Linked DNA regions of Notamacropus eugenii. The protein of the gene in region 2 purifies or fractionates together with the protein of the main gene of each other region. This does not show direct contact. Links are inferred from orthologs where the notes say so. Each region holds a gene or a part of one and is shown on either strand. Other genes may lie near its edges.

The links.
Region 1: the proteins of UBXN7 (region 2) and NPLOC4 purify together in Homo sapiens (affinity purification with mass spectrometry; 3 studies listed by BioGRID and IntAct, with this or other methods). This does not show direct contact. The link is inferred for Notamacropus eugenii from reciprocal best matches to the Homo sapiens genes UBXN7 and NPLOC4.
Region 3: the proteins of UBXN7 (region 2) and TOPORS purify together in Homo sapiens (affinity purification with mass spectrometry; 4 studies listed by BioGRID and IntAct, with this or other methods). This does not show direct contact. The link is inferred for Notamacropus eugenii from reciprocal best matches to the Homo sapiens genes UBXN7 and TOPORS.

What each region holds. Positions count from the first base shown.
Region 1 is NC_092873.1:325,532,090-325,539,629, reverse strand, and holds the start of NPLOC4 (nuclear protein localization protein 4 homolog), read left to right. Parts: upstream 1-4,483; 5' UTR 4,484-4,607; coding exon 4,608-4,622; intron 4,623-7,540. UniProt on the Homo sapiens protein: The ternary complex containing UFD1, VCP and NPLOC4 binds ubiquitinated proteins and is necessary for the export of misfolded proteins from the ER to the cytoplasm, where they are degraded by the proteasome.
Region 2 is NC_092876.1:335,918,205-335,925,195, reverse strand, and holds the start of UBXN7 (UBX domain-containing protein 7), read right to left. Parts: upstream 3,073-6,991; 5' UTR 2,783-3,072; coding exon 2,512-2,782; intron 1-2,511. UniProt on the Homo sapiens protein: Ubiquitin-binding adapter that links a subset of NEDD8-associated cullin ring ligases (CRLs) to the segregase VCP/p97, to regulate turnover of their ubiquitination substrates.
Region 3 is NC_092872.1:122,860,437-122,867,714, forward strand, and holds the start of TOPORS (E3 ubiquitin-protein ligase Topors), read right to left. Parts: upstream 3,081-7,278; 5' UTR 2,866-3,080; intron 1-2,865. UniProt on the Homo sapiens protein: Functions as an E3 ubiquitin-protein ligase and as an E3 SUMO1-protein ligase. Probable tumor suppressor involved in cell growth, cell proliferation and apoptosis that regulates p53/TP53 stability through ubiquitin-dependent degradation.

The DNA.
Region 1 (7,540 bases), on a different chromosome or scaffold from region 2:
TAACTTCCCTATTTATTTGGGCTATCAGCTCAGCCATTTTTAGCCCATCTTTTGTAGTCCAAACATCATTCTCCTTGGCAGAGAGGCAAAATAAACCAAATGGAACAGGCACTAAAGAGGAATGGAAAAATATGACTGTGCATAGACTACTTGACCTTGAGCCAAAGAACATGAGTACACCATGCCCAAGAGGTCAAGATGCCCAGACTAATAGGACACAAGGGAAACCAGAGAAATGGTTATGCATGCAGATAGATGACAATGATGCTTACCAATGGAATGAGTGCCTTTCACCGAGCTGCATGTTCTTTGACACACATTTTAATTACTGCATACTTTGAATGCTTTTGCTTTTAATATTTTCTTCTTCATGTCTATTTGCTTTTGTGTTAGAATTATTCCTGTTTTGTGGATATATTTGTCTATTAAATGTACACAATTTCGTTGTTTGAACATACTCTGTTACCTGCATTTTCGTTATTCTGTAAGCCTACTGACATTACTGTTTCATATTTGCTTTATTGTAATGTTTATTTGTGCTCTAGGTTCTAATTCACTTAAATTTTTCCAACCACATAAAAATGCTTATTCATTGTTTAGTCTTTGTTTAGGATCATTTGTCTAAATTCCTTCATTATTTTTCCTGATTTGGGGTGGGGGGAGGAATTGTAATGATAGTCATCATTAAAATCTCTGTATATCTCTGAATATATATATGAACTGGGCAGCGAGGCAGTCCAGTGAATATAGTGCTGGACCTGGAGACTCATCTTCATGAATTCAAATATGGCTTCAGTTACAAGCTGTGTGACTTTGGGCAAGTCACTTAACCTTCTTTGCCTTCATCTGTAAAATGAGGTGGAGAATGAAATGGCAAACTACTCCAGTATCTTTTTGAAGAAAACCCTAAATGGGGTCATGAAGAGTTGGACAGGACTGAAACGAGTAAACAACGGCAAACAACATATATGTATTGCTATGGCATGTACATGTAATATGTCCTATGTATATAATTTAGACCTGTAGTCACTGAAGTGTCCTGTTGAGAGAAGATGCTTCATGCTCTGTATGGTATATGCTCTGAATATTTGCTGAGACTGGCACCCTGAGATGGTTAACTGGGATTCCAGGTTAAGTATCTTTTTTCTGTTAAGTGCCGGTGTTTATTTTTGGTTAGAGGGCTAGATCTGGAGTCAGGAAGACCTGAGTTCAAATCCTTACTAGCTGTGTGACCCTGGGCAAGTCATTTTACCCTGTTTGCTTCAGTTTCCTCATCTATAGAATGAGCTGGAGAAGAAAATGGCAAACCACGCCATTATCTTTGCCAAGAAAACCCCAAATGGGGTCACAAAGAGTCAGATGACTGAACAATGACTGAAGGTGACCCTGGGCAAGTTATTTCACCTCCATCTGCCTCAGTTAAAGCTCTTTACAAACACAAAGAAACTATATAAATGCTATGATGATGATGTGATATATAATTCTAAATGTTGAACACACTGTAGCTGATTTTGCAAGGAATCATAACATTTCTAACCCCAGGAAAGAACACAATGTGACTGAAAGCTCAGTTTCCCTTCTTCCTGGGAGCTATAAGAAGAGATTACGTCCCCTAGGAGGTAAAAACAAGATATTGCTCAAGAAGATAGCGCCAGGAGTTTATAATGTTGAGGTTTAATCTGGACCCTCTCTGGGGAGTGGGAAGGCACTTAGTTGTTTGCTAATAATGAGGATGGAACAACTCTTACCACTAGGTCTCCTATTTTACTTTGGCTCTCTCCCAGGGAATCTGTTTTCCTTTCCTCATTCTATTAAAAGATTTATTTGCTTTCCGTTTTTCAGTCATTTGCTTGTAAAGGAACTCGTTACTCCAAAGTAAAATGTTTGTGGATTGTATCATGGGTTCTAGTGTGTGACCTGGGGGTTGGGGTAGGGAGGATTAAAAGTCACCATAGAGAAGGCTAGCAGAGTTTGATTGTGCAACTGTAATACATATTTTTGTTAGAGAAATTCTCTTGGGCTGAGGGCTTAAGACAAACCAAAGAGATTTTTATCATGACTATTATTATAATTCCCTCAAAGCAGGAAAAATAATAAGGAAATCTAGACAAATGACTCTAGACAAAGACTAAGGTATGAGTAAGCATTTTTACCTAGTGGGAGGAAGTGTGGTGAACAGAATTTAAAAGAAGCTCCAGTGAGGCAGAGGCCAGCAGGCAAATTTTTGGCTTCCTTGCTAGAGGCTAAAGACTGCCCCATATTGGGCTTCCCCCAACCCCTGTCAGTTAGGGAGAAGAAAAAGGTGATAATTAGAGAAAAATTTGCACCCTTGGGGACTCAAAAAGAGTGGAGTTGGGAAAGAGTGACTCCCCCACCTCCTAATGGGAGTAAAGTAAAACTGACTGAGCTAGGCTCAGGGCATAAAAACAGGAGCTAAAAGAAAGGCAGTTTCTGCCCTTCTAAAGAATGAAAAACACAAATAAAATGTTAGTGGTTGTTCCATTGTCTCCAATTTGGGGTACTCTTGGCAAAGACACTGCCATTTCCTTCTCCAACTCATTTTACAGATGAGGAAACTGAGGCAAATAGGATTAAATGACTTGCCCAGGGTCACACAGCTAGTAAGTATGTGAGGTCAAATTTGAACTCAGGTCTTCCCGACTTCAGGCCTGGCACTCTATCCACTTCACCACCTAGATGCCCCACAAGGAAGCTAGAAAGGGTAAAATGAAGGTGCCTGGAGCCTGAGATGGGGAGGCAGTAAAGAAAAAAATCCTAGAGAAGAAACTGGAGCTCAGGCTAGAGAAAAATTTAGACCTGGGAGGGTCCTGGGGGTGGTGGTGATGGTGATGTCTACTCTTAAAATAAAGATTCTGGTAGAAGTCATCAAGTCAGAAGGAGAGGCCAAAGTGCGAAGTCCATGCCTAGAGTGAGCTTTTTGGCAGTTTTTTTTCAGTCGTGTACAACTTTCCGTGACCCCATTTGGGGTTTTCTTGGCAAAGACACTGGAGTGGTTTGCCATTTCCTTCTCCAGTTCATTTTACAGATGAGGAAACTGAGGCAAACAGGGCCAGGGTCATACAGCTAGTAAGTATCTGAGGCCAGATCTGAACGAAGATGAGTCTTTCTGACTTCAGCCCCGGAGCTCTATCCACTTTGCTACCTAGTTGCCCACTAAGTGAGCTTCCACACGCCTAATGCCCTGGTCCGATCACACTACTCCACTGCTCCAAAATATTAAACAACCTTTTTTTGGATTTGTTTGTTGGTTTTTTGGGGAACTCCCAATGAGGAAATAACACTCTGTTTGGGGCTCTGAGAGGGTATGACTGGTGTCAGAGATGGAGCTTGAAAGGAGGTTTTCCTGCTGAGATTCTGTACCAAACTACCTCCTTTTGCTTCTTAAATATAACCCAACTACTCACACCCCTGCACCTCTCCCATGAGTCCTGACCACAAACTGGCCTTTGGGATATATTTCCCACCCAGTATCCTTCCAGTACCCTTCACCTCCAACCAGATCATGCCTTACTGTTAGCCAACACCTCTCCCTCCTGGCACATGCAGTTCCCCATGCCCAAAGCCCTCCCCTTCTCATAAATCTCAGCTCCTTAAAAACCCCACCCCTCCACCCCAATTTAAAGCCACCTTCCCGGGAAGCCTTGGGTGAATCCCTCCTGGATGCAGACCAGGAAGCCTTCCCCAAGCCCTCTCACCTCCGGGGCTGAGGATTTCCTATTTATCCTGTGGGCAGGAGGGCGGCCCAGCGGACGGTGCCAGGCCTGGAGTCTGCAGACCTGACCCCCCACGCGAGCTGGGCCGCCCTGTTGCCTCAGTTTCCTCGTTGGTAAAATGAGCTGGAGAAGGAGATCCTAAGGCCCTCCACATGTCTGCTGGGAAAGTCAGAAACCCCCCGAGAACGACTGGCCGTGTGCAGACCGGCTGCCCTCCTCAGACTGCCAGCGCAGGGGCCGCTTCTTTCCTCTGCCCACCCGGGCTCGGGGTGGCGCCGGGCACGCAGCAGGCACCTCGTGGTCGCGCCCTCTCAATGCCTGGCCCTGTTTCTGCGTCCCGTACGTGGTTATGCTCTGTCTTTACCCAGACTTCCGAACGTGTTCATTTCTCTTCCTACAGGCCAGACTCGTCGGAGTAAACTGATCTAGGCGGGAACGAAATCGTTGTTGCCCGCAGGGAGTTTCTGTTCTAGAGTGGGAGAGCAGCCAGGTTTCCTTCCCTAGCGTTTGGCGCTGGCGCCGAAGTAGGCCGGTGGGGGCGGGGTCGGGGTGGAGGAGTGGGAGGGGGTGAGCCGCCGGACTGCTCCCAGGGCGGGGGGAGGAGCGGACGCGGGGCGAGGGGGAGGGGTGGCGCCGCGGTGGAAGCCGGAACCCTGTTTCCGGGTCTGTGTTCCTGGGGGGAGCGCGTTGCGCGAGGCACCGGGACGTCGGCTGCAGGCTGAGGCCGGGCGGGCGGAGCTGGAGCGGCGGCCGTGCCTGGGGAGCGGGCGGAGGAGCGAGGCCGGGGCTGGAGCCGGAGCTGCGGCTGCGGGACACTCGGGGCGGCGGGCGGCGGGGGCCGGGCTCCGGGGCCCGGCGACGGCAGCGGCGGCCATGGCCGAGAGCATCGTGAGTCAGTTCCCCGCGGGCCGGCCGGTGCGGGCGGGGAGGGCGAGCCGAGTGGGACGCCTCCGGGATGAGGCAGCAGATTTCCCCGCCGAGGCCTGCGGGGCGTGGACCCGCGTCTCTCTCGCCCCCTGGCACTCAGGCCTTCTGGCTCACCCCCTTCCCTGGCCCTGCCATCTGGGCCCTTTCTCATCCTCGGCCTTCTCCGGGACTCAGCCGCCGGGAGATCGCCGGCGTCCGAGGTGGGGGAGAGAATCTGCCTACCTTGGGGGAACACCCCGACCTTGGAGGCCAGGAGAGAAGGGTCCCAAATAAAAGAGAGACCCCTCTTACGCGGCCACAACCCAACCCCGTCTCCTCCCCCACCTCCCCTTTTCCCCTTTCTGCCCCCCACCTTCTCTTCCTCCATATGAACTCCAAGGAGCAAAGTAGCTACAGATAAGGACACCCCAGAAAAAAAGTCCCTCTCCCCCGGAGGAGGTCCGGAACAAAAGTACAGAAATAGGACGTTTTCCCCTCGATTTCCAAGGAAAGCTTGTTAAATGCTTGACTAAAAGAAACTTGGGAAAGGAAGTTCATTTTTCTTGTCTTGGGAGATCAGACTTTATCAATCACCCCCTAATACCTTATGGCACAATTAATCTGAAAGCCCAGAAACTGGTTATTTCTTAGGCTGTGATAAGTTTTAAGTGCTTTAGCAAAGAAGCTAATGACTCAGGGAAAATCCGCAGGGAGGATCGGGGCAGTAGCATTTTGGTGGTAAATAAAGAACGCGAAAGGAAGGAGCTGTGGATGCCCGGCTTGGGGAGGGCGCTTCTCGCACCTGCTGCGTAGGCAGCCAGCCCTCCCTGGGTCTCTCTGCCTTGAGCCAAACTTGTTCGTTCCAGACTTTTCACCACCCTCTCCTGCCAGCTTTCTGTTTATGGCACAGGATTCACTGGCTTGTCTTTAGGGAGGTAAAGGAGGAATGGTACAAGAAAATAAAGTATTGATGCTTTTAAATATAAGGTTGCAGAAATTAAAACAAAATAAGGTTACAGAAATCTAACTTGGGGCTCCGAATAGGTTAGGAACTGTTGGTAGTTTAAAAAGTTGCATTAGTACCTTCCGTTTACAGGAAAACTAAACCCAGCGTTCCATTTAGGATAAGAATGGTCAGATCTTGTTGTAGACAAAGTTCTTAAGTCTAATGATAGCCAGAAAAAGACCACTTTTGTAAGGCTAAGCCACCATTAATAAAACCTAGGTGTCCCATAGATGTTTTGACTGAACAACTAAACGCTTTTGCACTTACTAAATTTTTGAAATGTGTTTATTTTTTAGGGGAAAAATGAGTTGAGATAGATTGTTTCCTCTAAAGAATACTGAGTGTATTGTTGAGATCATCAAATTATTCCAAAACCAAGGGTCTAACTCTAATCTAGGTCTAGGTCATGGGTGGGGAACCTGCTTTCTGATCCTAGGCCACTTGTGACCGTGGGTGTCCAAGTTTTACAGAACAGATCATTTTATTAAGGAGATTTGTTCTATGAAGTTTGGATTCAGTCAAAGGGCCATACTTGAAGTCATAGAGGGCCACATGTGGCCTTGAGTCTACAAGTTCTGCACCCCTTGACTCTAGGAACCTTAAAAAATATATATATTTTGATGACTGTGCTTTAGTAAAATTTTCTTTTCTAAGCCTTTGTATGTGATTTTCTAACATTGTTCTGAGTATGAGTACATAGGCTTCACCAAATTGCCACAGAAATTTGTGGGGCCCCCCCCAAAAAAAGGTTAAAGCCCCTAAAATGTTAATTCTAAACATTCTGTTTCTGTGAAGTACATACAAGCTGTCATAGTAGTCCTTGTTTTATAGATGGAGAAATCTTGTACATTCAGGTCTTCTTGTGTCTTATAGAACTAGTACAATTTAGTTTTATCTTTTGTTACCAGAAAACTTGAAATTGGTTTGGGAGCATATATGGTTATGTTTAACTATATATGTTTAAAAACACTGTTTAAGATGATCAAATCAGAATAATTTCTATTTCAGAAATCTGGAATTCAGTCTCTTAGAGGAAGTACCTTGTGTTTTTGAGTAGAATTGATTAGTTCAGGAACTAGTTTTAACATTTCTAATTATTGTGGGAGAACAGGCAGCTGAATATTTTTTCTTAGTTAATTTAGAACTAGAGGATTCAAATATTAATGGCAGTGTTTTTATAAATACGTATGTGTTTTACATTGAAGTGCTTTTTAATATGGAGACATTTAGAGAAACTTGAATACATATGTAAGATGAACAATCCAAAAATTAAAAGGGCTAGTCAGAGTTAAAAGTTTAGGGTAAAACAGGTACGCTAGTTTTTCTAAACTTTTAATGAATGGAATGTCCATAATGTTTTTCCAAAAAATAAACTGCCTTAAACTTAGAAATTGACAACAGAGTTTTTCAGACAAAAGTTAGTGAGTTATTAGACATTGTTATAGTTGTTACAGTATAATGAGTTGTTATAATATAATGAGTACTGCATTTGGAATCAGAGGACTTGAGTTTTGGAATACTGAGTCGTCATCTTAATTATCTGTGACCTTGGGAAAATTATTTCACATTTCTAAGTCTATTTTCTTATCTGCAGAGTGAGGTGGTTGGACTAGACCTTTAAGATTCTTTTCATCTCCAGATGCTGTGATCCTTTGTTTTAGGATGACATGAATTAGTCTTGATAAATTCCATCCCAGAATGTGTCAAGTTCAGGGAATTATGAGCCAGTGGGGCATTTGGCCATGTAATAGTGGAAATAATTTTCAACAGATCATATATTTCTAAAAGAGTTAGGACTTTTATCCGATAAACAGTATGGTAAATGTTGAGAAAAATAACTATAGCAGAAGTGCTTTCTGGCAGTCTGTTGTTGCAGGGACAATTTCTGTTCATG
Region 2 (6,991 bases):
CTATTACTTTGCTTATTCTGGACAATATATTTATAATTACAGTTTTTTGGCAGCCATGTCACACTGACTCATATTGAGCTTGAAATCATGTAAAATCTCCAGATCTTTTTCACATGAAATGCCTCAGCTTCCCTATTTTACATTTGTACAGTCCATTTTTTGAAAATTTTTCTAAGTCACAAAAGACTATGTGCTGTCACTAGGTCATTTTCTTGACAATAAATGATATAAGAACCTATTTTTAATTGTAGGAAAAGGTAACCATAATGTGTGCATTCTGGCTACGTAGGTGATTATTCAAGAAAAGTAGTTTCTAAAGCTATATATAAAAATATTTTCTTCCTTAGGATATAGTCACTACAAATTAAGAAATCTTTAAAAAGAAATACTACTATCCTGTTTTTTCAGCAAGAAAAAAAGAATAAGTTAGCTACAAAAGCTAATATTTTAAGTTTCTCAGGGGGAACAGAATTTATTTCGTTTTTTAAACTACTTACAACTTAATATTTAATACAACTGATTGCTTTATTAAATAAACACATATTTTCATTTAAAAAGCACATCCACAATACACACAGGATTAAACTAAATTTAACTAATTTTGGTTAAATGCAACTATGTCAAGTTCTTGGTAACAGATATTCTAATGGCTGTGGCAAAAATATTCATAATTAACCTAATGACTCTGCAAAAAGCATCCAACAATCATAATTGGGAAATAAAATAATCAAACATCACAGTTTTACAACATCACATCAGCAGAATATTTCTGACTTTTCAAGTCCTTTCATAGCTATACTGTTTCTGATACTTATTACATTAAGAGACAATATTGGAAAAAGAACTAGGGCAACCAGATGAGTCACTTGTCAATGTGCCAGCCTTTTAGGAAATTACTATGTGTTGCTATCTATCTGTAACTAAAACAGCGCTAGAAATGATGATGAAAAGGAACACTTTGAAATCCCCAAGAAATAAAAACACCTAAAATTACTGAGGTAACATCTACAATTAAACCAAGAAATTTTGACAATTACTTACATTTAAGGCTTGAAAAGTACTTTTCTAAAACAAAAAGAAATTTTTTTAAAAAACTAGAAAAAAGTATAATTACTCAGTTTTTACAGATGTTGACACTGAAATCAAATGACTTGCCCAAGGCCATTATTAAGTTATAGAGTCTGGTGTCCAACCAAGTCTATCCAGCACTCATTCTACTCTACCATTGTTTCAATAAGAAAATGACTAATAATAGATCAAATCATTCCTGGACCTAATAAATGGTTTTACAAATGATTACCTCATTTTATCCTCACAACAACCCTGGGAGATAGGTGCTATTATCTCCATTCTGCAGATGAGGAAACAGACGGAGAGAAGATGACAAGACTACACAGCTAGTATCTGATTCCAATTTTCGGACCAAGTTCATCCACTCTTAACTCACTGTTTCAGTTGCCTTCACTCAGCTATGACCCACTCAATACAAAGACAGGCTGCAAATACATTACCTCCATTCTTAGTTTCAAAATACTTTTTTTAAAAAAAAGATATATACCTATCTGCAAATACATTTGGAAGACTTTTCTCAAATATTTATCACAAATAATCACTAAACATCACAATATCACTTGTAAATAACATCTAGTTCTTAGACCTACTTCATTTACAAATTCTACTTGATGAAAACTGAAGTCATACGACAAAGTAACTGACCTCAATTTTCTAAAAGCCACGGCCAGCAAGGTGAAAATGAAAAAAAAAAAAAAAGCTCAAAAACTTGTTATAAACACTTGTCCGATAATTTCCCAATTTCAAAACAATGGGCATTTTTTCTTAGTGGTAAGATCCTGCTTGACCACTAAAGCTTCAACAAATGCGTCCTGAAGAAACATTTTCAACACTGCAAACATCTTTTTAGCGATTCACAGATAGCATACAGACTTACTTACGTCTGACCTCCTTACAAAAAGAAAAAAAAATCACTAGAACTGTTAAATTACACTTAGGCACATGGAGTCACTCTTCCCTCAAATCACTTTACAGAGAACTTCCCCGTTTGCTCCGCCCCTCTAATAACTCATGCAAAAAAAAAAAAGTTCAGCACCATTAGAAAGGAACAGGACGCGGACGGTTGGCAGGATGGCAAACGGCTCTGGACCCCCGGGGAAGGGTGCCCCGAACGCGTCCTTCCCCCGAGGTGCAGACCCGCAGCAGCGGCCCGAGTACGGGGCTGCGGACACCGTCACTCTGCCAAGGGCTCCCTTTCTGCAGCCGCTCCTGCGGCCATGCCTCCCCGGAGCAGCACAAGGCCGCATCACCATCATCCTTATCCTTCCGTCGCTACATTGGGGGGGGAAGTTTCACGGCCCCCCCCCCCCTCACTGCTCAGGGTCCCCCATGGAAGGGTCACTAGGTGCTGCCCCCCTCCCCCCAAACCCGCGAGCGCTACCTGCCTCCCCGGTGGTTCCCCCCCCCGCCCCCTTCACGTCGCTGCCCCTCCCCCACTACCTTCTCGGCGGAGGCCTGCGCCAGCAGGGGTCGAGGATGTGGGCTCGGGGGCCCGGGGCCCCCCCGGTCTGGGGGGCCGCTCTGGGGAGCCCCCGGGGGAGGACGGACGCCGCCGCCCTACCGGAGTGGAGCGACCGTGGCGGGGCATGGGGAAGGGGTAGGCCCCCCCGCGAGGCCAAAGGAGTCTGAGGGCGGCGGCCGGCGGGGTGCGGGGCCCGATCCCTCCCTCCGCCCCCGGGGCCCCGGCTCGCCGAGCGCGGCCAGGCCCCATCCGCCGGCTCCCAGGAAACGAGAGGCAGGTCCCCGCGTCCTCGTCCCGCGGCGGGGAAGGACGGGGGGAGGGGGGCACGGGGTTGGGGAGGGGCCGAGGCTGAGGCTGCGCCCGCGCCCGCGCCCTCACCCCGGGACCCCGTCACTGCCGCCGCCGCCGCCTCGGAGGGAGGGCGGGAGCTGAGAGGGAAGCCTGGAGTGGGAGCGAGAGGGCGGAGGGAGGAAGCCCGGGTCTTCCCGGCTGCCCGCTCCCGAGCCCGCTCTCCGCCTTCCCGTGTCCGCGTCTCTTACCCGTGATGGCGGTGAACTGCTGGATTAACCCTTTCAGCGCCGAGGAGGCCGCAGAGCCCCCGTGCGCCGCCATCTTGCCGCCGCCGCCGCCGCCGAACAACAACACAGACACACAAGTCCTCCCTCCCCGCCGCACGCTCGGCGCAAGCGCGCTGCTCGCCCCGCCTCTCGCTCCCTCTGCAGGGGCCCCGCCCCTCCCCGCCCCACTGTATGCTCTGCGCAGGCGTCCCACCCAGCCCTTCCCACTCCCCCCTTCTCTCCTTAGTCCTTAAGTACGCTACTCTGCCAGCCCCCTTAGCGACCGGGTCCGCCCTCTTTGGGCCGGACTGCTTTCGGTAGCCCCGCCGCCGGTTCTTTCCGTTTCAAATTCGAAAAGCTTTATTGGTTGCCTCCGCTACGGACACTCGGCCTCGCTTTTTTTTCTCTTTAGCGCGGGGTGATTTACATCTTTGGCTACCCGGCGTGCTCCGCGGGGCATCCTGACGGGAGTCCGGCGGCTCCCGGCAAGGGGTCCCCCGGCGGTGCCGGCGGGGTGGGCAGAAGCAGAGCTGGCGCCCCTCCCATTGGAGCGCTGGTCTCCCTTCTCGCCAAACCCCCGAGCAGGGCCCCTGGCCGCCGCCTCCCTCTTCCCTAACCTGTGCTGCGTCTCCCGTCCTCCTGAGCCCTTTTCTTTGCGAGAAGTTGGACTCGTGTGATAGAAAAAAACAACGTGCCTTCCATTCCTCCGTGCATTCCTGCCAGCACCCTTTACTCATCCTTTCACTTCTCCATCCGCTCATTCAATAAATTCGAACACCCTTCCTTGAGACTCAGATTCCTCATCTGTCATCTGTGGGGAGGGAGCGAGGGAGGGAGAGGAGAGGAAGGGACTGTAGCCCGGCCAGGGAAGGTCACTTCTAAGCTCCCTTCCCACTTTGACGTTCTATAATAAGGTAACCCTTCAATCCTCCCCAAGGGAGGATCCCAGAAATCGGGGCGTCAGAAACCTCCAAAGCCACATTTGAACCGCTTTAAGAAATATCCCTTAGACGAGAAGGAGGACTGGGAGATAAAGGGAGCCGAGAAGCCTGAGCCTGGGAGTCAGGGAGGAGCGCTTCTGGCCTCGGCCCACCAAAGCCTGCGGAAGTGGGCAGGAGATCGGGGCGCCGCCCCCGCCCCCGCCCGTGGAAGCAGCCGGGGCAAATCCTGGCCTCCCCAGAGGATCCGAGATCCTCCCGGCGCCCTGGAGCTGCCAGAGGCCTTCATCCCGGGACTGCCTGTGGGAATGGGGACTGAAGAGGAGAGGGCAGGGGGGGCCGGCCACAGCGAGCCTTTTGTTCTCTGCTTGAAGCTGGCACCGCTGCGCTTCCCGGCCAGAGAGCCTTTGTCTGGGGTCTTGGACGAGCCACTCAGCCCCGAGAGGAGTATTGCGAGGACGACGATCGTTCGTTCCTGGGCTGGGCGTCCAGCTGCGGTTCCCTAGCGAACGAGGAAGCGTTTAGGAAGCTCTCACTAGGGGGGAAGCGCTGTGCTCCTCTTCACTGGGAAGGCACATGGAAAAGCTAGCCCGTTCCTGCTCTCAAAGAGCCCCGTTCTAACGGGGGAACAATGCATGGGGATGGTTTCAGCTGCAAGACGGGCAGATGGGGGGAAAGATGCCCTGGTCCTTGGGGCGCAGCGTCAAAGCAGATGGCGACGGTTCTTCTTCAAAGTCATTCCCCTGATAGAACCACATCGGATGCTGAGCCATTGGAGGCTCCGAGGACTGCGGGGACCAGAGTTTTCTAGGTCTTTAGTGACTGTGGCTGCAGCATCTTCGCAGGTCTTGGCTGCTTCCCAGGACGGTGGGTTGGAAGCGCTGCTCTTCCCAAAGTTCTTGGGCAGAGGTCCTGGGCGCACGGTGGTGAAAGCTTTACATGCCTGGCAAGTGCTGCCTCCCACCTCGCTGCTTCAGCTCTGGCCGGCTTGCCTGCTCTGTGGGTGGCAGGTAGTTACAGACTTTGTCCAGGGAGCCCAATCTGGTCCTCCGTCCCCTCCCAGCCTGGCTTCCAGACTTCTGAACCATGCTGTCTTATGCTGAAACTTCTCTCAGCGCTTGGGGCTTCCTCACCCTAGAACATCCCTCTGTTTGGTCACCCCCTTCTGCTATCAGAGAGGCAGCTAAGTGGACCTGGATCTGGAATCAGGATCATCTGCAGTCATCCTGATGAATGTCTGGTCACTGATTCGGATGGCTCTGGAGAAGTGAGGCTGGCGACCTGCACAGCCCTCCCTCACTCAAAGCAAAGTCAAGGGCAAGTCACGTCATCATTTCTCTGATGGCATGGTCTTCTTTGGCAACGAAGGACGAACACACACTTTGTGGAGGGGACTATGTCCATCTTCATTCTCCTTCTGGCCCTGTTCCTGCTTTCTAGATTTTCAAAAACGTATCCCCATTAGAATGTGAACTCCTTACTATGGCCAAAGGGCTATAAAACTGTGCATCCCCTTTCATCCAACCATATCACTACTAGGTCTATATCCCAAAGAGATCATAAAAAAGGGAAAAGGACCCACATGTATGAAAATAATATTTATAGCAACTGTTTTTGTGGTGGCAAAGAATTGGAAATTGAGGGGATGCCCATCAACGGGGGAATGGTTGAACAAGTTGTGGTATATGAATGTAGCAGAATGCTATTGTGCTATAAAGAAATGGTGAACAAGCACATTTCAAAAAAACCCAGGAAGATTTACATCAACTGACAGAGTGAAGTCAGAACCAGGAGAATATTGTACGTAGTAACAGCAATATTGTTAGATGACCAATTTTGATAGCGTTAACGTTTCTCAGCAATACAGTGATCTAAGAGAATTCCAAAAGACTCATAATGGAAAATGCTATCCACATGCAGAGAAAGAACTATGGAGTCTGAATGCAGATCGAAGCATACTGTTTTCACCTTTTTTCCTTTCTCGTGGTTTTTCCCTTTTGTTCTTATTCTTCTTTCATAACATGACTAATATGGAAATATGTTTTACATGATTGCACATATATAACCTATATCAAATTGCATGCTGTCTTGGGGAAGGGGGGGGGAGAAAGGGAGAAAAAAGATTGGAACTCAAAATCTTGTCAAAGTGAATATGGAAAACTGTCTTCACATGTAGTTGGAAAAAAATACTGTTAAGTAGGGGAAAAAAGAATATGAGCTCCTTGAGGGTAGGGCCTATATTTTCTTTTTTGTTTGTGTCTGTATCACCAGTATTTAGCACAATACCTGGCACATGAGAGCTTAATAAGTGCTTTTTAAATTTTTTTTCTTTGTTCTTTCTCTTCCTTCCTTCCTTCCTTTCTTCTTTCCTTTCTTTCTTCCTTTTTTGCTTCTTTCTTTCATCCTTTCCTTCCATTGTTGGGGTTCGCTGGCCCCTTCTCCTCAAAGAATTTTGGAGAGGATAGACATGGGGAACATAAAGGTTGAAAGGAACTGGGAAACAGTGGCATCTAGCCTGGCTTTTGTGCCTATGGAAACCAGAGAGAGGGGGGAGGGACTAAGCTGGAAGCAAGACCAGTGGTCTCAGTTGGTCAGCAGTTCTTGCTGGCAATAATGAGGAAAATGGGAACCTCTCCACAATGATTTCTCCTCTCAGGTGGCTGAGCTGGAAGCAGGTCTGATGGTTTGGGTGGCACAGCTATCCTTGAGGCTTTTAAAGATCCTGGGCTATTGGTCAAGGTGACGGTGGTGGTTCAACCTACCTAGCAACATCCTACCTTCTGTCTCTACCTTAGGGTACCTCTTAGGAGATGAGTTTGAGTGACTGGGACTCCCCTGTCCCCCAAGCGGGACACACACACACACACACACACACACACACACACACACACACACACACACTATTTGATTGGCTAGAACTCTTGAGAGTAAAAGCTCTTATCAGAGGAGTTATTCCTTTGGAC
Region 3 (7,278 bases), on a different chromosome or scaffold from region 2:
CAATAACAGGCAGGTACTTAATAAATGCTAAGTTAGTTGACTCAGTTCCTTTAAGACAAAGGTTAGGGGTTATCTGCTCTAGGAAGCTTTCTCCCCAGCTGAAAATGATTTCATATTCATCAAATTTTCTAGAGTATTCTGCCTGGATCTTTGCTTTCCCCTTGGCATATTCTACCCACATAAACTTACTCATGTTCCCGGCCTTTCTCATGTCCCAGTAAACTCTTTAAGGATAGACAAATTCTTTTGACTTTGTATTCTCAGGATTTAGGCACAGTACTTTGTGCACAGGAAGAGCTTGAAAGATGATTACTGAACTGAATCAAAGATTACCTTATTCTATTTACAGGCATATCTCATTTATTGCACTTGGAAGATATTGTATTTTTTTTTTTTTTTTACCAACTGAAGCTTTGTGGTAATCCTGTCTCTAGGAAGTCTTTCAGCACCATTTTTTCCAAAAGCATGTGCTCACATTCTGCCTCACAATTTGGTAATTCTCACTATAATTCAAACTTTTCCACCACTATTACATCTGTTATGGTGATCTGTGATCCAAGTGATCTATGATGTTACTATTGTAATAGTTTTGGGGTACCTCGAACCTTGCCTATATGAGACAGTGAACATAACTGATAAATGTAAATGTTCTGACTGCTCCTCCAACTGATTCCCTCCTTTCTCTCTCTCTCTCTCTCCTTGAGCTTCCCTATTCCCTGAGACACAATAATATTGAAATTAGGAAAATTAACAACCCTACAATGGCCTCTAAGTGTTCAAGTGGAAGGAAGTGAATCAATTCAGCAAACTTTATTTTTTTTCTTATGTTAAGAAAGTGTCACAGCCACTTCAACCTTAAGCAACCACCACTCTAATCAGTCAGCAATCATGAACATCAAGGCAAGACCCTCCACCAGTAAAAAGATTACAATGCGATGAAGGCTCAGAAGATGGACAGCATTGTTTTTTAGCAATAAAGTACTTTTAAATTAAGGTATGTATATCTTTTTTTTCAATATAGTACAAGTACACATTTAATAGACTACAGTAAACAAATATTATATGCACTGGGAAACAAAACAATTCATGTAACTAGCTTTATCGAGATATCAGCTTGATATTCGATTTATTGCAGAGGTCTAAAACCCAACTGGCAATATCTCCAAGGGGTCCATATTGAGTAATCTGCTCTACCTTAGCAGACTGAACAAAGAAGTCTCTTATCCAAGACCGAAGCTCTCCAATCCAGCCAAATCATCCTGTTCTCTCTGATCCTGCTCTCTAATGAACTCAATATGCTACATTCTCTCCATCTTCTTCTCAGTGCCTTTGAACCCTCATGCCTGGAAGACACTAAGTCCACTAAATCAAGAAGAATTTATTAAGCAGTAATGCTAACTTATGCTAGGTATACAAAGAAGCATAAAAACAAGATTCCTGTTCTAAAGGAGATCACTTCCTAATGAGGAATTCAATGTGCACACCCTCCTTACTTCACCATCTCTTTTCCTTCAAGATGAAGCTCAGAAACTGCCTTTTTTGCATGTTTTTCTTGATCAACCTCTCCCCTTCCAATGCTAGTGCCTCCCCTCTAAAATGTACCAAGCTTTTTGGAAATGCAGTTTTTAACTACTTTGTATAGGTAGATGGTGGTTCAAGAGATGATATGTTGAACCTAAATTCAACAGGTGGGTGGACCTCAATTTAAATCCTGCCTCAAACATTTACTTGTGTGAGACACAAGTCACTTAGCTTCTCTTGGTCTCAGTTTCTACATCAATAAAATGGAGATAATAATAGCCTTCAAATCTCAAGGTAGTTATGAGAATAAAGTATTCATAAAGTGCTTTGCAAACTGTAAAGTGCTACACAGATGCTAAGGCTAGTGTTTTGCAAACCTTAAGGTGCTTGCTATATAAATGGTTTGCCTTTCGAGGACTGTCTCATTAGATGCTCACAACAAACCTGGAAGGCCGGTGCCATCATTATTATTAGTCCCATTTTACAGATGAAGTTGAGGGAAACACATGGTAACTGACCAGTATCTAAGGTCGAATTTCAATTCAGATTTTCCTAATCCCAGGTCCAGTACTGTATCGACTATGCCACATAGCTGTGATAGATTAAATAGATGGACAGATACAAGGTTCTGACATTTTTTGAGTCATCACCCCTTTGACAGTCTGGGGAAGCTTAAGGGCACATTTTCAGAAAAGTTTTTAAAAACACAAAAATAAAATACGTAGACTTACAAAGGAAACCAATTATATCAAAGTATAATTAATTTTAAAAAATCTTTAGATTTTTTAGAGTTAGAGATCACGGGTTAAGAGCTTCTAATATATATGTTATATTTAAGCTGCACACGCACACCTAATCTCCACTAGAATAGAAGCAAGCAAGGATAGTTTCTTTTTTTTGTATACCTAGACCTAGCATAGCAAGTGCTGTTACAGTAGGTGTTCATACTAAACTGATCCTACGGCGGGGCAGCAAATAACACCCACGGGAGTTTGCACTTTCTCATTCGAAGAACGCCCCCCAGGCCCGAGGGGCTGCAGCTCCGGCTCCGGCCCTCCCTCTTCAAGTAGAGGGAGGCTCCAAATGATCTCTCAGCCCCATTCCACAAGTGCAGGCTCCCCGACAGCCCGGGAAGTACCCCCACTCACCAACCTCAACACTCGGCGGGGTTCGTGGACGCCCCTCCGGGCCGCAGCAACGGCCACAGCTGCCAGGCCCCGGCCCAGCTCTTCGAAACCCCAGGCCGGGCCTCGCCACGCTGGGAATAGTGCTCCTGACACCCCGGAGCTCCAGAATCGGGCCGTCGCCCCCGTCCTGGACCTCCTGTCCGCCCCCACGGCTCACCTCTGAAGGCTCCGGCGCAGTCCAGACAAAGAAGGTTCTCTCGGGAATAACCCCAAGCGATCCAGCCGCCGACCGGCAAGAAGCCGCTCTATCCCCAGCTTGTGCTGTAAGCACAAGCGAGCGTCTCTCTCCCCCCACTCCTTCAAGCGGAGGAGGAGCCAGCGGCGGCGATCTTTTGTCGTAGGGCGCAGGTCACCAATAGCGAGCTTCCGGTTAACTCAGGAAAGGGATGGGATCCCCCCCCGGGGCTCGTCACAAGACAACATCCGCTCGTCCTCCCAAACCGCCAACTGTTCTGCGCACGCGCCAGAGGTGACGTTGTAAAGCTCTTCTGCTATGGAGGAGGTGGGCCTACTTAGAAGAGGTAGTGCTGGGGCCAACCTGGGTCTTTCCCTTCCTTCTGCCCCTTTGGGTTGCTTCCTGGGGGAATAAATGGCCTGTTTATTTTAGCCAACGTTAGTTAAAGAATCTGGGGCCAAAGTTCAATCCCTGCCTCTAATGATAACAGTAAAGCGAGTCGCTGGGGGCCGCTAGGGGGCGCAGCGGCGGGCCTGGAATCAGCAAGATGTGACTTCAAATTCAACTCTGACGCTAGCAATATTGTAACACAGGACTAGTCGCTTCAGTTTTTTTAATTGAAAAAGCGGTGATAATAGTGGCACTACCTCCTGGGGGGGGGGGGGGGGTGTGTGTGTGTGAGGATCGCATGAGATAATACGTGTAAAGTGGCATGGTGCTCTGGCCCATAGAAGGCACTCGATATTAATTTCTTTTTACTTCCTTGAGCCTCCGTTTTTTTCATCCGCAAAAATTAAGAAATTAGATTATTGCCGAGGTCCCCATTTCCTCTCTCTCCATATTAATTCCACGTGAATTAGAATTTGAACCTAACTACCACTTAATGAGGACACCCATTAGAAAAAAATGTCTGACAACCAAAAGCTTCCAGTCATTATTAATTCCTCTAAAATGCAGTGGTTTCCAGAACGTGTCATTCCCTCAATTCCCTCCTTTTGTCAAGCAGCCCATGCAAATAATTTTGTTTTTTATTTAAATATAGTTAAGAATGTTTTCATCACAAGCCTTAAATCATGCAGTAAAAATGTATAGATACTGATTAAAATAATTTGCACTTTTCATATTTATAATTTTAAAATAATAATCATGATATGTTATGATTGATGTGATGGATGAACTTTTCCTTCAAGTAGCTTCTTTAAACGTGTCATTGTCCTAACAGAAATGGATTTACCGTGGTTTCACTGGTAGAGGTAATGACCTAGTGAGAAAAACTCTTAAGCAGTTAGGACCTTCTCTATAATTTATAAACTGGTGGGGGGGCACTAAGAGATTAAGTGACTTGCTCAGCCAGTATGTGTTAGAAGTGGGAACTTAAAAACACAGGTTTTTCTGCCTCCAAAGCCAATATGTTGCAGAGGTGGGAACTGACAACAGGTTTTTCTGCCTCCAAGGCCAGTTCTCTCCAGTATGCTATTCTAGTTCATGGTGCATTAACCATAATTAAATAGCAATATAATTCATCATTCTTTTAAAACTCCTAAACAGAATCAATAGTTTGTCGAATGGCTACTGTAGAAAATCCTATCTTGCACAAATAAGATGTTGCAAAGAAGAGTAAAATTTGCATCACTTTCGTAAACCAGAGAACTCTTTTTCACCTAGCTAAAACAGTAAGATTTTCAGATTCAAACCCCCCAAACCACTACCACAAAACAAATCAATAAATTAGCAAGGATTTCTTGAGTGCCTACTATGCCAGACACCAAGCAAGCAAAGAAAAAAAGTGAATAATTCCTTATCCTCAAGAAGCCAATTACATCCTAGCAGGAGATACCTCCTGTAATAAAGCTCACTAAACAGTATCTTTTAAAAAATTTCACATCCTCCTTTCATGTCGTCTATGGGAGAATCAGCTATAAAGGGAATTCATCTTTTTGAGCCAAGTGTGCCAAATTGTCAATTTTATCCACCTGAAAACAGACAAAATAACAGTTCTCATCTGGAACTTCCAGTTGATTCAGCTAGCTTTATGAAAGCAAATACAGTGCCATCCCATCTCTCTTTGGGAACTCTGCAAATGACAAGAACTCTGAATTCCTGAAGGAAGGAAAAGGAAAGAAGGAAAAAAGAACTTATGAGGTGTTTACTATGTGCAAAGCACTGTACAAATACAAATAAGATACAAATAGAAAAGGCATTCTCTCCTTTCCACATTGTAATGGAGGAGACAACACAAATCAAATGAAAAGGTCCTGTGGTCCTTAGGGTACAGTGGCACAGCAGATGTTAAAGCCTCTCCTTTATTTTCATTTCAGTGCCTGGCACTTAACAAATGTTTATTGACTGAGGTTGAACCATTTAACAGTGCCAAGGACCCTGATGGCAAAAAATTTTCTTTTCTGGGTCTGCAGTAGCTGTGGCTATAGCACTTTCAGGAACAGTTGCCAAGCTACAACTCTACAGGGGTTTCTTCTTAGAATGATAGCAGAGATTGCAAAATAGAATAGCAATAATTTGAAATTGCTGGATACATAAATATGTTTAACCTCAATATCAGTCCTACCCCAAAGGCCCCCACCAAAATCCTATCCAGTGGTCCAAAATAAAAACAAAATGTTGACTAAATCTGCTAAGACCAGTTTTGGTACTTCTTTGTACTATGATTCTATATACTTGTGAGGCCATGGAATCTAATCACTCCCAAACATTCAGGAACTGCATATATCAAAAGGAATAATATGAGGTTGTAGAAGCAGCCTAAGGAAGTAGAAATTTTATAAATGAAGAAACTAATTTTGAATAGGAAGATCTGAGTTAGCCAGACCACACAACTTGTGTGATCATGAGGCTTCAGGTTCCTCGTATATAAAATTAAGGTACTGGACTAGGTGAAAACTACTCACATTTACATAGTGCTTAAAACATTTACTGCTTTTCTGCAATTTGGAAATACTGTATGGAAAATGCTGTGCATCTGTTGACTCAGTTATACCACTACTAGGTTTATACCTGAAAGAGATAAAAGAAAGAGGAAAAGGACCTATATATACTAAAATATTCTAGCAGCTCTTTTTGTAGTAGCCAAAAATTAGAAACTAAAATGCCTGAATAAATTGTCGTTTTTGAATGGAATATTATTGTATCATAAGAAATAATGAAATGGATAGTTTTAGAGAAAACTTAGCAGAATTAGGTGAACTATGAATAGGATATTATGGAGAAAAACAACTTTGAAATACTTAGGATTCTGATCATTGCAATCATAAACTATAAGCCCACAGGATTAAAGATGGAACACATCACTAATCTCTGTCAGAGAAATGATGAATTTAAATACAGGAAAACATACATTTTCAGGCATGGCTAATGTGGAAATTCATTTTTGAAGGGATTTATGCATGTTTATGATGAGTTTTTTTTTCTTTCCCTTTTTTGAGAAGGAGTTGTTGCTGAACAGGAAGGACAGACAGCTTGAAAGTGACATAAATGCATGTAAAAATAAATGAATAAGCTTCTTTTAAAAATAAGATGATGCAGGGGATAGAGTGCCTGGCCCTGAGTCAGGAAGACATCTTCCTGAGTTTAAATTTGGCCTCGGACACTTACTTAGCTCTATGACCCGGGACAAATCGCTTACCCGTTAGCCTTAATTTTCTCATCTATAAAATGAGCTGGAGAAGGAAATGGCAAACCACTCCAATATCTTTCCCAAGAAAACCTCAGATGGGGTCTCAAAGAGTTGGACAGACTGAACAACAATTAAGTACTTTTCTTACCACACTTTTGAGATACTCAGTACAAAAGTTAGCTCATTTGATGGATGAATAAATCGAACATAGGAGAGGTAGACCAAGCCACCTAATGTCACAACGACCTAATTTTAGCTCTAAATCCTCTGATCGGAGCAGTTAGTAGAAGTATCCATGTTCAATAATTGATACTGTAGTGTAGGCTTCTGTATTACATTCTTAGTTTAACTGTTTCACTCAGCTAGGTTTAGAGATAAGTGCTCAACATAAAGGTAATTGAACACACAGTACAATTCAACAAGCATTTATTAAGTATCATCCTTTTGGCCCATGCAATCTGCTAGGCTCTTAGTATAAAGTAAAAAATGAAAAGTCTCTGTTTTCTCCTTAGCTTTCATAGGATCACCAAGAAGAAACAGGTAGCAGTTATTGTCTTTCCTCCCCTTACTCCCACCAAAAAAAAAAGTTCAATTATTCAATAAAGAAATAAAATGAGACCTCATCATCATAACACACGAGTACTTGTTTCATAGTAACATAGGAAAATAAACCTGTATTTGAAAAAAAAAACTAATTAAAAAAATTACTTGTTTAACATGACTGTTATAGAAATGTTTTGCATGACTCACATGCATAACTAATA